Linked DNA regions of Caenorhabditis elegans. The protein of the gene in region 1 interacts with the protein of each later gene in a biochemical or structural test. Each region holds a gene or a part of one and is shown on either strand. Other genes may lie near its edges. The genes, in order: hpl-2 and egl-4.

What was found.
Region 2: of the proteins of hpl-2 (region 1) and egl-4, one has a biochemical effect on the other in vitro, tested with the Caenorhabditis elegans proteins (one study listed by BioGRID).

The regions. Positions count from the first base shown.
Region 1 is NC_003281.10:10,751,723-10,757,736, reverse strand, and holds hpl-2 (Chromobox protein homolog hpl-2), read left to right. Parts: upstream 1-2,215; 5' UTR 2,216-2,226; coding exon 2,227-2,268; intron 2,269-2,542; coding exon 2,543-2,716; intron 2,717-2,983; coding exon 2,984-3,222; intron 3,223-3,921; coding exon of another isoform or gene 3,922-3,994; exon of another isoform or gene 3,995-4,146; intron 4,147-4,180; coding exon 4,181-4,334; intron 4,335-4,705; coding exon 4,706-4,777; intron 4,778-5,182; coding exon 5,183-5,413; 3' UTR 5,414-5,483; downstream 5,484-6,014. Other genes in the region: K01G5.10 (Haloacid dehalogenase-like hydrolase domain-containing protein 3), read left to right, coding at 1-61; rnf-113 (putative E3 ubiquitin-protein ligase rnf113), read left to right, coding at 100-237, 301-1,033, 1,756-2,039. UniProt on the Caenorhabditis elegans protein: Seems to be involved in transcriptional silencing in heterochromatin-like complexes. Probably does not act as global transcriptional repressor, instead targeting a subset of genes. Involved in RNA processing mediated by Tar DNA-binding protein homolog tdp-1.
Region 2 is NC_003282.8:1,846,281-1,851,186, forward strand, and holds the start of egl-4 (cGMP-dependent protein kinase), read left to right. Parts: upstream 1-1,790; coding exon 1,791-1,946; intron 1,947-3,384; coding exon of another isoform or gene 3,385-3,411; intron 3,412-4,906. Other genes in the region: ccm-2 (CCM (Cerebral Cavernous Malformation) gene homolog), read left to right, coding at 428-569, 640-698. UniProt on the Caenorhabditis elegans protein: Promotes chemoreceptor gene expression in response to increased cGMP levels by antagonizing the gene repression functions of the class II HDAC hda-4 and the mef-2 transcription factor.

The DNA.
Region 1 (6,014 bases):
CTCTCATAATGTTGAACCGTTTTATTGTATTTCTCGTTTGTCAGATTTGAAGCTTTATTAATTAATTGAATTTAATAAATAGTTTTAATTTTTCAGATAATGGATCTCTTCCGAAAACCGAAAAAGCGCAATGCACCCGTCGTTCGTAAAAAGGAAAGCTCAAGTGATGAGGATCAAGATTCAGAAGTGAAGGATGTGATTCAAAAGCGACGTCGTACGAATCCGATGGTCCAGTCGGTGAGATCTTGGTACTTTAGTGCTCCAAAATTTTGGAAAATCCCAATAAACTTTGAAATTCAGACCAAACAACTAGACGCCTCAACACGACGTGCTGATAATTCATCGGATGATTCTGACGACTCTGACGACAATCAGGATATCGCAGTAGCAACTCACTCGTTCGCCGCTTCAGGAGATGCCGGTCCATCTGGACCACGTGATCAAGGTGCCACTGCAACACTCGAAGTGGACACAGACTATTCACACGATGCCCAGGCTCAATTCGAACGAGTCCAACAGCAACTGAAGGAAGGCGTCGAGAAAGACGGAAAAATTCTGTACAAGGGAAGTGCACTGTATGGAGCCAAAGAGGCGAAGGATACGGCCAAGGGAAACGCTGCAAGTGGTTATAATCGAGTTGGGCCCGTTCGGGCGCCACAATTTCTACGACAAACAGTCCGTTGGGATTTTGCACCGGATATTTGCAAGGATTACAAGGAGACTGGATTCTGTACGTTTGGAGATTCGTGTAAATTTGTGCACGACCGATCGGACTATAAACACGGATGGGAGATTGATGAGGAGTACGAAGCAGGAAAATATGGTGCTGAAGACGATGCGAATTACGAGATTCATGAAGGCGACGATACGTTTCCGGAGGATTGTTTTATTTGCGGAAATCCATTTGTTGATCCGATCGTGACAAAATGCAAGCACTACTTTTGCACCGGTTGTGCGTTGAAATCGTTCCAAAAGTCGTCAAAATGCCCAATATGTCAGCAGAATACTGAGAATATTATGAATACCGCAAAAGGTTTGAAATAGAACGATTAATTCGTGATTTTCGCAAGTTTTGGAAGGTTTTTCGGCGCAGTTTGATACTTACATGTTACGGAGGATACTGCACGTGGACAAGCGTGAATCTTTTTTCACATTTTTTGGACAATAATAAGACATTATAACTAGAAAGAGAGGAGGAGCCTAATTTCGCAACTCTGCGGCACGATTTTTCGACAATTTTCCACTGTTTTTTTTTTTGGTTTTTTTTCTGGTTTTTTTTTCCAAAAAACTTCGATTCTTCCTGTTTTATTTTTTTTTACGAGAAAAAAATCAAATTTAATTCGCATAACATTTCGATTATAGTTCATATTTTTACAACCAATTTAGCTTGAAATATCCTCCCAATCTAATGTGAATTAAAAGGAATAAAATCGAAACTTTTATGGAAAAACCCCAAAAAAGAAAAAGGAAAACCGTGCCGCATGGTTGCAAAATTGGTTGCAAAATTACGTTCCGCCTCTTTTTCTGCTTTTTGGAAAACTCATTTCTTTGGTAATTTGGAATGTTGGAAGAGAATCAGCGAAAATAGTTCAAAAAAGTAAATTTCAGCCAATAACTCACAGTTGTCCGGGTGAAGTACAAAATCCTTCGTAAATTTACATGCAACAAACCGCGCTTTTAATCCAAAACTTGCGAAATTCACAAGATAGTAGCTCGAAAAATGTGGCAAAAAAAAATTAATTTTTAAATTTTCAGAGCTCCTAACCTACCTGAAACGGAAGAAGCAACAACAGAAGCAAGAAGCCGAGAAACAGGAAGAAGAAAAAGATAGTGACGATGATGAAAAACCACACGAATGCGACGATCACCATCATCATGATCACGAAGATGAGCCCGAGGAGCCTGAAAACGACTCAAATGTTCCAGAAGCCGAGGAGAAGAGCGATGAGGAACAGGAGATTATGATGGAGGATGTGGAAGGGCTTGAAGGTGGAGAAAATGACTCTGAGAGTGATGATGATGATGCTGAAAAAGATTGATAATTTTTATTTTTTTTTTAAATATTTCTGTACGGTGATTGTCTGTGAGTAAACTAAATATGATTTTTTTTCTTGTTCGAGCCTTTTTTTAATTTCAAGATATTGTTCGAATCTTTATTCCATATTTTTTCTATGTTTTTTCAGATTTCTCCCATTTTAGCTCAAATTTATTTCAGCAATTTCAAAAATGTCGAGCAAATCAACAAAGCGAGCAAAAATCGAAGATCCGGTATGGAACGGCGAAAAAACCAAAAAATCTATTTTTACAACAAAAAAAACTAAAAAATACAATTTTGCAACGAAAAAAAACCAAAAAACAGTCCATTTTGCAAAAAAACAATAAATCAATTTTTGCACTAAAAAAAATATTTTAAAAAAACAATTTTGCAACAAAAAATCTATTTTTGCATAAAAAATCCAATTTTGCTAGAAACAAAGCGACAGTATAAGTTCCCCGACAAAGAAAAAAAAAGTCACATTTTATTCAAAAATCTGATTTCCAGAAGGACAACGTGTTCATGGTGGAAAAAGTGCTGGACAAGCGAACTGGAAAAGCCGGCAGAGACGAATTTCTCATACAGTGGCAAGGATTCCCCGAGTCTGACTCTAGCTGGGAGCCGAGAGAGAATCTCCAGTGCGTCGAGATGTTGGACGAGTTTGAGAGGGAATTTTCAAAGGTTTTGAAGAATTTTTTAAAGTTTATTTTACTTGAAATGGTCCTAAAAAGCGAATTTCATAGTGAAAATTGTTTGAAAAATCTTCGATTTTGCCCACTTTTCCGTGCTGCAACTGTTTAAATTAGATTTTTGTTCGATTATTCTCCTATTTTCACACGGAAAAGCTGGTAAACTTGAAGATTTTAACTAAAATTAGGTTTTTTAGAGTTAAAATTACAAAGTCATAAAATCCGATTTTTCTGCAACAAACTTATTTTATTTTTACAGAGAGAGAAACCAATTCGCAAACGACACAGCCAGAAGCCCGAACCTTCCGAAGATCAAGCGGATCCAGAAGAGGATAAAGATGAAAAGAAGGAAACGAATCAAAATGACAAATTCTCACTGGAAGGCAAGCAGTTAAAATGCATTGTCGGGCTCACCAAGGGACCTGGGGAACTTCATTTTCTGTGCAAATTCAGTGATGACACGGCACGGCTTCTTCCAGCGAAGGAGGTGAACAGTCGGTGAGTTTGGGAATTGCTCCCGGTTGATTAAAAGTGTATTACGGAAACACTCCACCCAAAAACTTTAAAAGTATCCGAAAAAAAATATTACGGGAACACAAAATTCTGAGAATGCGTATTGCGCAACATATTTGACGCGCAAAATATCTCGTAGCGAAAACTACAGTCATTCTTTAAATGACTACTGTAGTGTCGATTTACGGGCTCGAGTTTTGAAATGGATTTTTGTTCAAATAGTGGCATTTTTGCTTAATTTTAATATTCTATCGGTAAATCAAAAAAATATGATTTCGAAAATAGAGCCCGTAAATCGACACAGGCACTACAGAATTTACTGTATTTACTGTACTGTAGTTTTCGCTACGAGATATTTTGCGCGATACGCATTTTCAGAATCTTGTGGTCTCGTGATACGCGTCGATGGGGATTTCACTCTAAAATATGCCGGCTGTACTGCACATAAGTGCCGAAATACCGAAATACCACGAAAAATATGAAAAATTGGACTTTTTCACTAAGAAATTCGAGGAAAAACGGAACAATTGCGTTTAAATTGATAAAAACCATGGCGCGGTAATTCAAACATTCAAAATTTTTCTGACTATTCTGCGTATTTAAAACTGAAATCCCGATCGGCGCTAGAGTTTTTAGCTAGGAAGCGAACCTCAATTTGGCATTTAAAAAAGCTCTAAATTTCAGCTATCCGAGCCAAGTTATCAGATACTACGAATCCAAGCTAACAATCCAAGACCCAAAAGCCGACGAGCTTTAATCACTCCCCACCCCGATACACGTGTTCAATATCATGTTCTCTCATCTCATTCCCATATTCTTTTTGAATTATCTTGTAAAATCTATACCAATTTTTGTGCTAACCCCTGAAATCGAGACTAAATATTATTGAATCAATAAAAATTTCTTGAGACACATTACATTCGACATTCTATTTTCCATACAGATACCGCCCGTTCGTCGACGCTTACGGCGAATTTCTGAAGAAAAAGATGGAGAGACGACACAAACGGATTTCCGAGGGAAAGAAGAAGCGTTCGATTGAGGAAGATGATGCAGATGATGAGTGGCCTGAAATGCCACCGGGACATCGAATTCTTGTGAGAAAATTTGAAGTTTTAGAAGGAGAAAATTTTGAGAAAAATGAAAAAAAAAAGTTTTCTCTGAAATGTTTCCAAAAAACAGTCTCTACACAAGGTCCAAAATTTGAACACCTCTCGAAAAATGTTTTTTTTAATTAAAAAAAATTTTTTTTTGGGAAAACATTTTTTTTGAGAAATTTTTTTAAAACTATACTGTTTTTAAATCTTTGAGAAAAAACTAATTTTTTGCGAATTTTGAATTCTTTTAGGTATTCTTCTTAAGGAAAAAGTAGTTTAGAAACTTTTTTTGGAACAAAATTATGTATTTTTAATTTTAGAATAAAAAACAATTTTTGAAATTTTTTTCAAAATTTTTATTTTAATTCCAGACAACCGAAGAACACGAGCTGCAACGTAGGAAGGAATCGAAAATATCGCAGGACGTTGAGATGACTGAAGCGGTAGGGGTCTTACCACGAACGAAATATTTTTTGAGGCCGCGCCTTTAAGAACTACAGAACACTATGTATCGATTTTTCAAAGAAAAAGGAAAACATAGATTTGTAAAAGAGATTCCTGAAATTCGTTTAAAAATCGATCTCTAGTAAATAAAAAAATGTCAGAAATTGTAAATTTCGGGATTTTTTCGCCAAAAAAATAGCCTTCCTCATGTGGTGTCAGAAAGTCTCATTGCAGTTTGATCTACAAAAAATGCGGGAATTGTTTCCCAGAAAAAATGTGACGTCAGAACGCTCTTAACCATGCAAAATCAGATAAGATGTCTGCGTCTCTTCTCCCGCATTTTTCGTAGATCAAAGCGAAAAGGGACTGTATGACTCCACGTGCTTCCTTAAACCATTCTTCAGTTTCAGCAAACCGCGGCCGATATGCTCAATGATATGCACATGGCGGCCAATGGAGATCTGCTTTCCAGCTTCCCACAAGATTTCCTTGAAGACTCTGGCGATGGAGAAGTTCACGAGGCGGCCATCCTCTCCGTTTTCGATGACAATTCGAATAGCCCGCCACCGTGTCCGATCGTTGTCGACACTGTACCAGACGATGATGACAGTCTCTTGTTCCCAAGAAACTCATAAATTATTTGATCTCCGCTGTTTCTTTTTTTTTTCGAAAATCCGATTTATATAAAGTTTGAACATTATCTTTATATAATGGATAGTACAACAAAAATCTCTTTAGAAATATATATAAAAAATATGTTAGAAACACTGAGAAGCTCATGGTGCATCGACAAATTTTCTGCATTTGCAGAAAATCCCACAAAAATGAAGAACATCGAGAACAAAACTCATGGTGCATCGACTAACAAATTTTTCGGCCAAAAAAATCTGATAAAATATGATGGCAAACAGACTTCCTAGAAACACCTGAATTTCGCCCGTAAAAAATGAGTGCGCCTTTAAGAGCTACAGTAACCCACTAAATCATTAAACTGAAAGTTCCTTGATGTCGAAAGAGAAACAAAATTTGACAAAAAAAAATTTATTGTCAGAGAAAAGTAATAGAAGTGAAATTGTGTGGGGAAATAAATACGGACGGGGAGTTTGAAAAAAGAATGGGACTATACGAGGTCATAAATAATACAATTGTGGGGAACGATGAGCATAGAAAAGGGGAAATGGGGCTCCATAAAAAAAATGAAGGACCTAAAAACGGGGGAAAATCACGAGAGGCGGT
Region 2 (4,906 bases), on another chromosome or scaffold:
AAAAAAAACCGAACATTTTCATGTTTCCCTACAAGCTTGTGGTTTTATAGCATTTTTTACAAAAATTGTGTTCTAAAAATCTCCCTTTTTGGCTTTTTTTCGCTGAAAATTTGAAATATTCGACTTTTGCCGTCAAAAACCGGTAAAAATCAATTTTCACATAATTTTTCTGTTGCAAAATATTTAATTTTATTTTAATTTTATTTCTCAATTTTTCTCCTAAAATTCAGTTTTATTGTTGGAATTCATGGAGTTTTTGCCTGAAAATGAGAGTTTAAAAATATATTATTTTCACACATGTCGTAAGATTCTGCGCTCGATCCGCATTTTTCTCCATCCGTGTTTGCGTACTTTCGTCACACGCGAGTTTAATGAAATTTAAATCGAAATTTATCAATTTTCTCATCATTTTTTCCTTTTTTTTCAGGTTCTCTCTTGTCTCCGCCCCGAAGAAGTTCCACATTTTCGCGAAATTATCAAGAAATACAATAGCGGCGAGCAAAATGTGAAGATTTTCGCGCAAAAGCTCGTCGAACTGCTCGGCCCCGGACGAAAAAAGCGTCTTTCATGTGAGTTTCTACAACACTCCCCTCTTTTCTTTTCTTCGAATTCAATGCAATTTCCTGTGCCAATTTGCAGACCTGAAACATGCGTTGAGAGCCGGCGACATGCTCCAATTCGACTCGGCGATTCTTTGAAATACGCGGGTCGTCAAAATGCGGGTGAGTGTCTTCGTCGTGAAATTGCAATTTTTCTTTTTTTTTTAAAGAATTTTTATCGTAGAAAATTCTGTTTATTTATTATTTAATTTTGCAGGGAGATGCTGATGAAGATGTGGCGGAGACGGATGGATTTCGATTGGATTTTTTCTTTTTTTTACATTTTTTTTCAAATTTTCTCCTCTAAAAGTCGGTTTTTCTGTGAAAACTACCCGCAAAATCTGAGAATTTCGCGTTTTTTTTCTGAAAAATTGCGTGAAAAACCACAATCCACTTGGATTAAGCTGAAAAATCGGCAATTTTGTATATTTTGTCAGGATTTTGATTTAAAAATCGAATTTCTTGTGAAAAATTTGCTTTTTCGGTGAAAGTCGGTTTTTCTTGAAATTTTGCACGAGGTTTCTCCTGAAAATTGGCTTTTCTTAGATTTTTTTTCATAAAATTCCCGGAAAATTTGTGGTTTACTCAAAAAATGCCCCGTTTTTCCAATTTTTTCCTGTAAATTTGGTGGTTAAAAAATGACGAATTTTTTGCATTTTGTGGAAAATATTTGTTCGGAAAAATCACAAAAATTCTCGAATTTCGTGTAAAAATATAGAGAAAAACGACATTTTTTCCGCTGAAAATTGAGTTGTCTTAGATTTTTCTGATATAATTCCCTGAAAATTAGTGGTTTTCTCAAAAAAAAATGCACCGAATTTTTTAAAAAATTCCACGTAAACATGCGCAGAAAATTCCTTTTTTTTCTGAAAATTTGAGCAAAAATTGCCGAATTTTCTTCAAAAATGATGTTTTTTTCGCAAAAACTCAAATTTCGTGTGAACATTTTCGGAAATTTATCGAAAAAACTGCATTTTTTCGCTGAAAATTTGAATTTCCTCTCGATTTCTCTCTCACTTTTCCGCATTTTTTTCCGTTTTTTCCTCCCCGCTCCGCTCAAAAAAATCAATAAATAAATACTTTTACAGATCAAAAGGTGATACCTCCGACGCCCGCCATCCACCACATCCACTCACAATCCGAAAATTAATCGATAAAACAATAAAGCGACCAGCGGAAAATCAACTGGAAATGAGCTCTGGGAGCCGTCCGTCGAGCGGCGGTGGTGGTGGTGGCGGAGGAGCCAGTGGTGGAGCCGGTGGTGGTGCTCCAGGTGGTGGTGGAGGTGGAATCCGTGGATTCTTCTCCAAACTTCGTAAGCCGTCTGATCAGCCGAATGGGAATCAGGTTAGAGTTTTGTGGGAGGTTTTTTTGCAGGAAAAATCGCTGAAAAATGATTAAAATTTACCTTTGTGTAGATTTACGGGGATTTTGGGGGAAAATATGCGGGAAAATGGGCAAAAATGATATAATTTTGATAAATTTGGCCTAAAAATCCCGAGTTATTCGGTCATAATGTGCTCAGGACTTTGTAAAGACCTATGTGGATTTACGGGGGTTCAGTGTCGATTTACGAGACTGTAATGTCGATTTACGGGGGTTCAGTGTCGATTTACAAGACTGTAATGTGGATTTACGGGGGTTCAGTGTCGATTTACGAGACTGTAATGTCGATTTACGGGGGTTCAGTGTCGATTTACGAGACTGTAATGTCGATTTACGGGGGTTCAGTGTCGATTTACGAGACTGTAATGTCGATTTACGGGAGTTCAGTGTCGATTTACGAGGGCTGTAATGTCGATTTACGGGGGTTCGGTGTCGATTTACGAGACTGTAATGTCGATTTACGGGAGTTCAGTGTCGATTTACGAGGGCTGTAATGTCGATTTACGAGGCTTTAATGTCGATTTACAGGGGTTCAGTGTCGATTTACGGGATAACATTTTCCGAAATTTTACTGAAATTCGACTAGTTTTGGAATGAAATCCTTCAATTTTGCAAAATCTTTCCAGGATTATTTGGTGTTTTCCGCAGCTCCGTGTATATTTACGGGGGCCTGTGTCGATTTACGAGAGTTTTTTTTCAATTTGGCGAACTCAACATTTGATTTGAGTTTATACCATAAATGCAGTTTTCTAAATTGAAAATTTCAAAAATCTGTGTAGATTTACTGATGCCTATGTCGACTTACGGGCGAAACTTTTGGTGATTTTCACCAATTTCAGCCAGATTTTCAAAATTTTCAGGTTTTTTGTGCACAGAAATGGTATCAACTTTGACATTTTTTACACATTTCCGGTTGAAATCCTCGGATTTTTGCTAGATTTTGTCTGAACTTCTAGATTTTCGTGACCAGAGATCATTGTCACTTTGTGTGGATTTACGGAGGAGCCGATTGTCGATTTTCTGGATTTTCTGCGGTTTTTCCGGGGTTTTTGGTGCTCCAAATGGAAAATTCTTCCGAATTATTGCCTAGACTCTTCCGACTATTCTGCTGGTTGTTCCGAGTTTTTCAACACATATTTTTCCAATTTCCCGCTCCGGAGCTCTCCGCCAATTCTGCTGCTCGGCTCTCTCCACAGGACGCCTGCAATACGACACCAACTGTTGTTTGATGGCTCCATGGGGGTCGCGTAATGATCATGTTCATGTCGACTTGACGAAATTCCTCTTATCACAACAAATTGAGCCTGGTGATAGCAGACCTGGTGGTGAAGAGTTTTCCGTATTTCTAGTCCTATATTCCGTGCTGAAATGTGTGGAAGTGTCTGAGTATGAAAAGATGATGAAGCAGCAGCCACCCAGGATTTATGTGAGTTTTTGGCGGACCGAAAACTTGGAGAATTGGAATTTGATTGGCATTTTTTCGCCTTAAAATGCGACCTAGTGGGGGCTAAATCCCAGATTACGGTAGAAATTTCAGAAGTTCAGCTCTAAAATTAGAAAAATCATCGACATTTGAGCAAGACATCAGGATTACCGAAAATCTGAAATTTTTAGGCGAAAGCTTGGATTTCCGATGGCTTTTCAGTTTTTAAAATTGACAATTTCAATAGTCTAATAATGGATTTTTCCTCGAAATTTCGCCCAGAATCACGGAAGAAAATCGATTCTCATCTGAAAATTCGAATTTCGCCTTCACCGCATACGCGCCCCACTGAGAAAGTTAGGCATTTTTTCTCATTGGAGCGTGTTTGCTACTAAATCCACGTAGATTTTTCTATTTTCCGACAAAAAAATAACTGCAAATTGATCGATTGATCTGAAAATTGATATATTTTTTTATGAAAAAAAAAAAGTAATTCTCTTATCAATCCCTATCGGCCGAACTGACGTCATGTTGTTCCCCACAGCTCAAAGCTTTCGAAACAGTGAAAACTCGGCCATTACTAAAAATGCCAAAATTCGCAAAAATTCGAAATTTTGGCAGAAAAAGGCGGCGGCCACGAGCCGAAAAATCTCGGCCACTTCACGGAGTTTATAGAATAACCGAACAATTTCTTTTGCTTTTCGGTTTACACCTGCTTCCCGGTGAAAAGTCTAGAAAAATTTGAGCTTTCTGAATAGAAAATACATCTAAATTGCCATTTTTTTCCTGTTAAAGATCGCAGAAATTCAATTTTTCCGATATTTTGGCAGAAAAAGGATGAGATTTGACCCAATCTTCCTATAAATTGTTACTTTTTCCCATAGCTCAAAGATTTCCGAACAGTGAAAACTCGACCATCACGTGGTGCCAGGTGTGTCCCATGTCGGTTTGATCTACGTTGATCTACCAGAATGCGCGGGAAATTGGACGCAGACTTTTCAACTTATTTTGCATGGCTAAGAACATGCGGACGTCACATTTTTTAGGCCAAAAAATCCCGCATTTTTGTAGGTCAAACCGTTATGGGAAAGTCTGGACCATACCGATTTGTTCCTCGGTTTTTCACGTGCTCGTGGTGTCAAAAAATTCCAGCTTCCCAGACCACGTCTCACCTGGAAAATTGATCGATTTACGATTTTTCAGAGTCGAAATTCGCAAAAATTCAATTTTTCGAAATTTTGGCACACAAAATTTCTGAAAATTGAACAATTGATCAGAAAAAAATTCGATAGTTCTTCTTATCAATTTTCTCAATGGTATTTTCTTCCTGGTGAACTCTTCCTTATGCACAAGTGTACGTGCTCTTGTGCAATTGTGCATTGCACAAAAAACGGGTGAGCCCATGCCGATAGGGACGACCGACGCTAATAGGATTTTCCTCCCGTCGTCGGGCCGTTTTTCTCATTTTTTACAAGCCAGTTTCATTTTTTTATGCCCA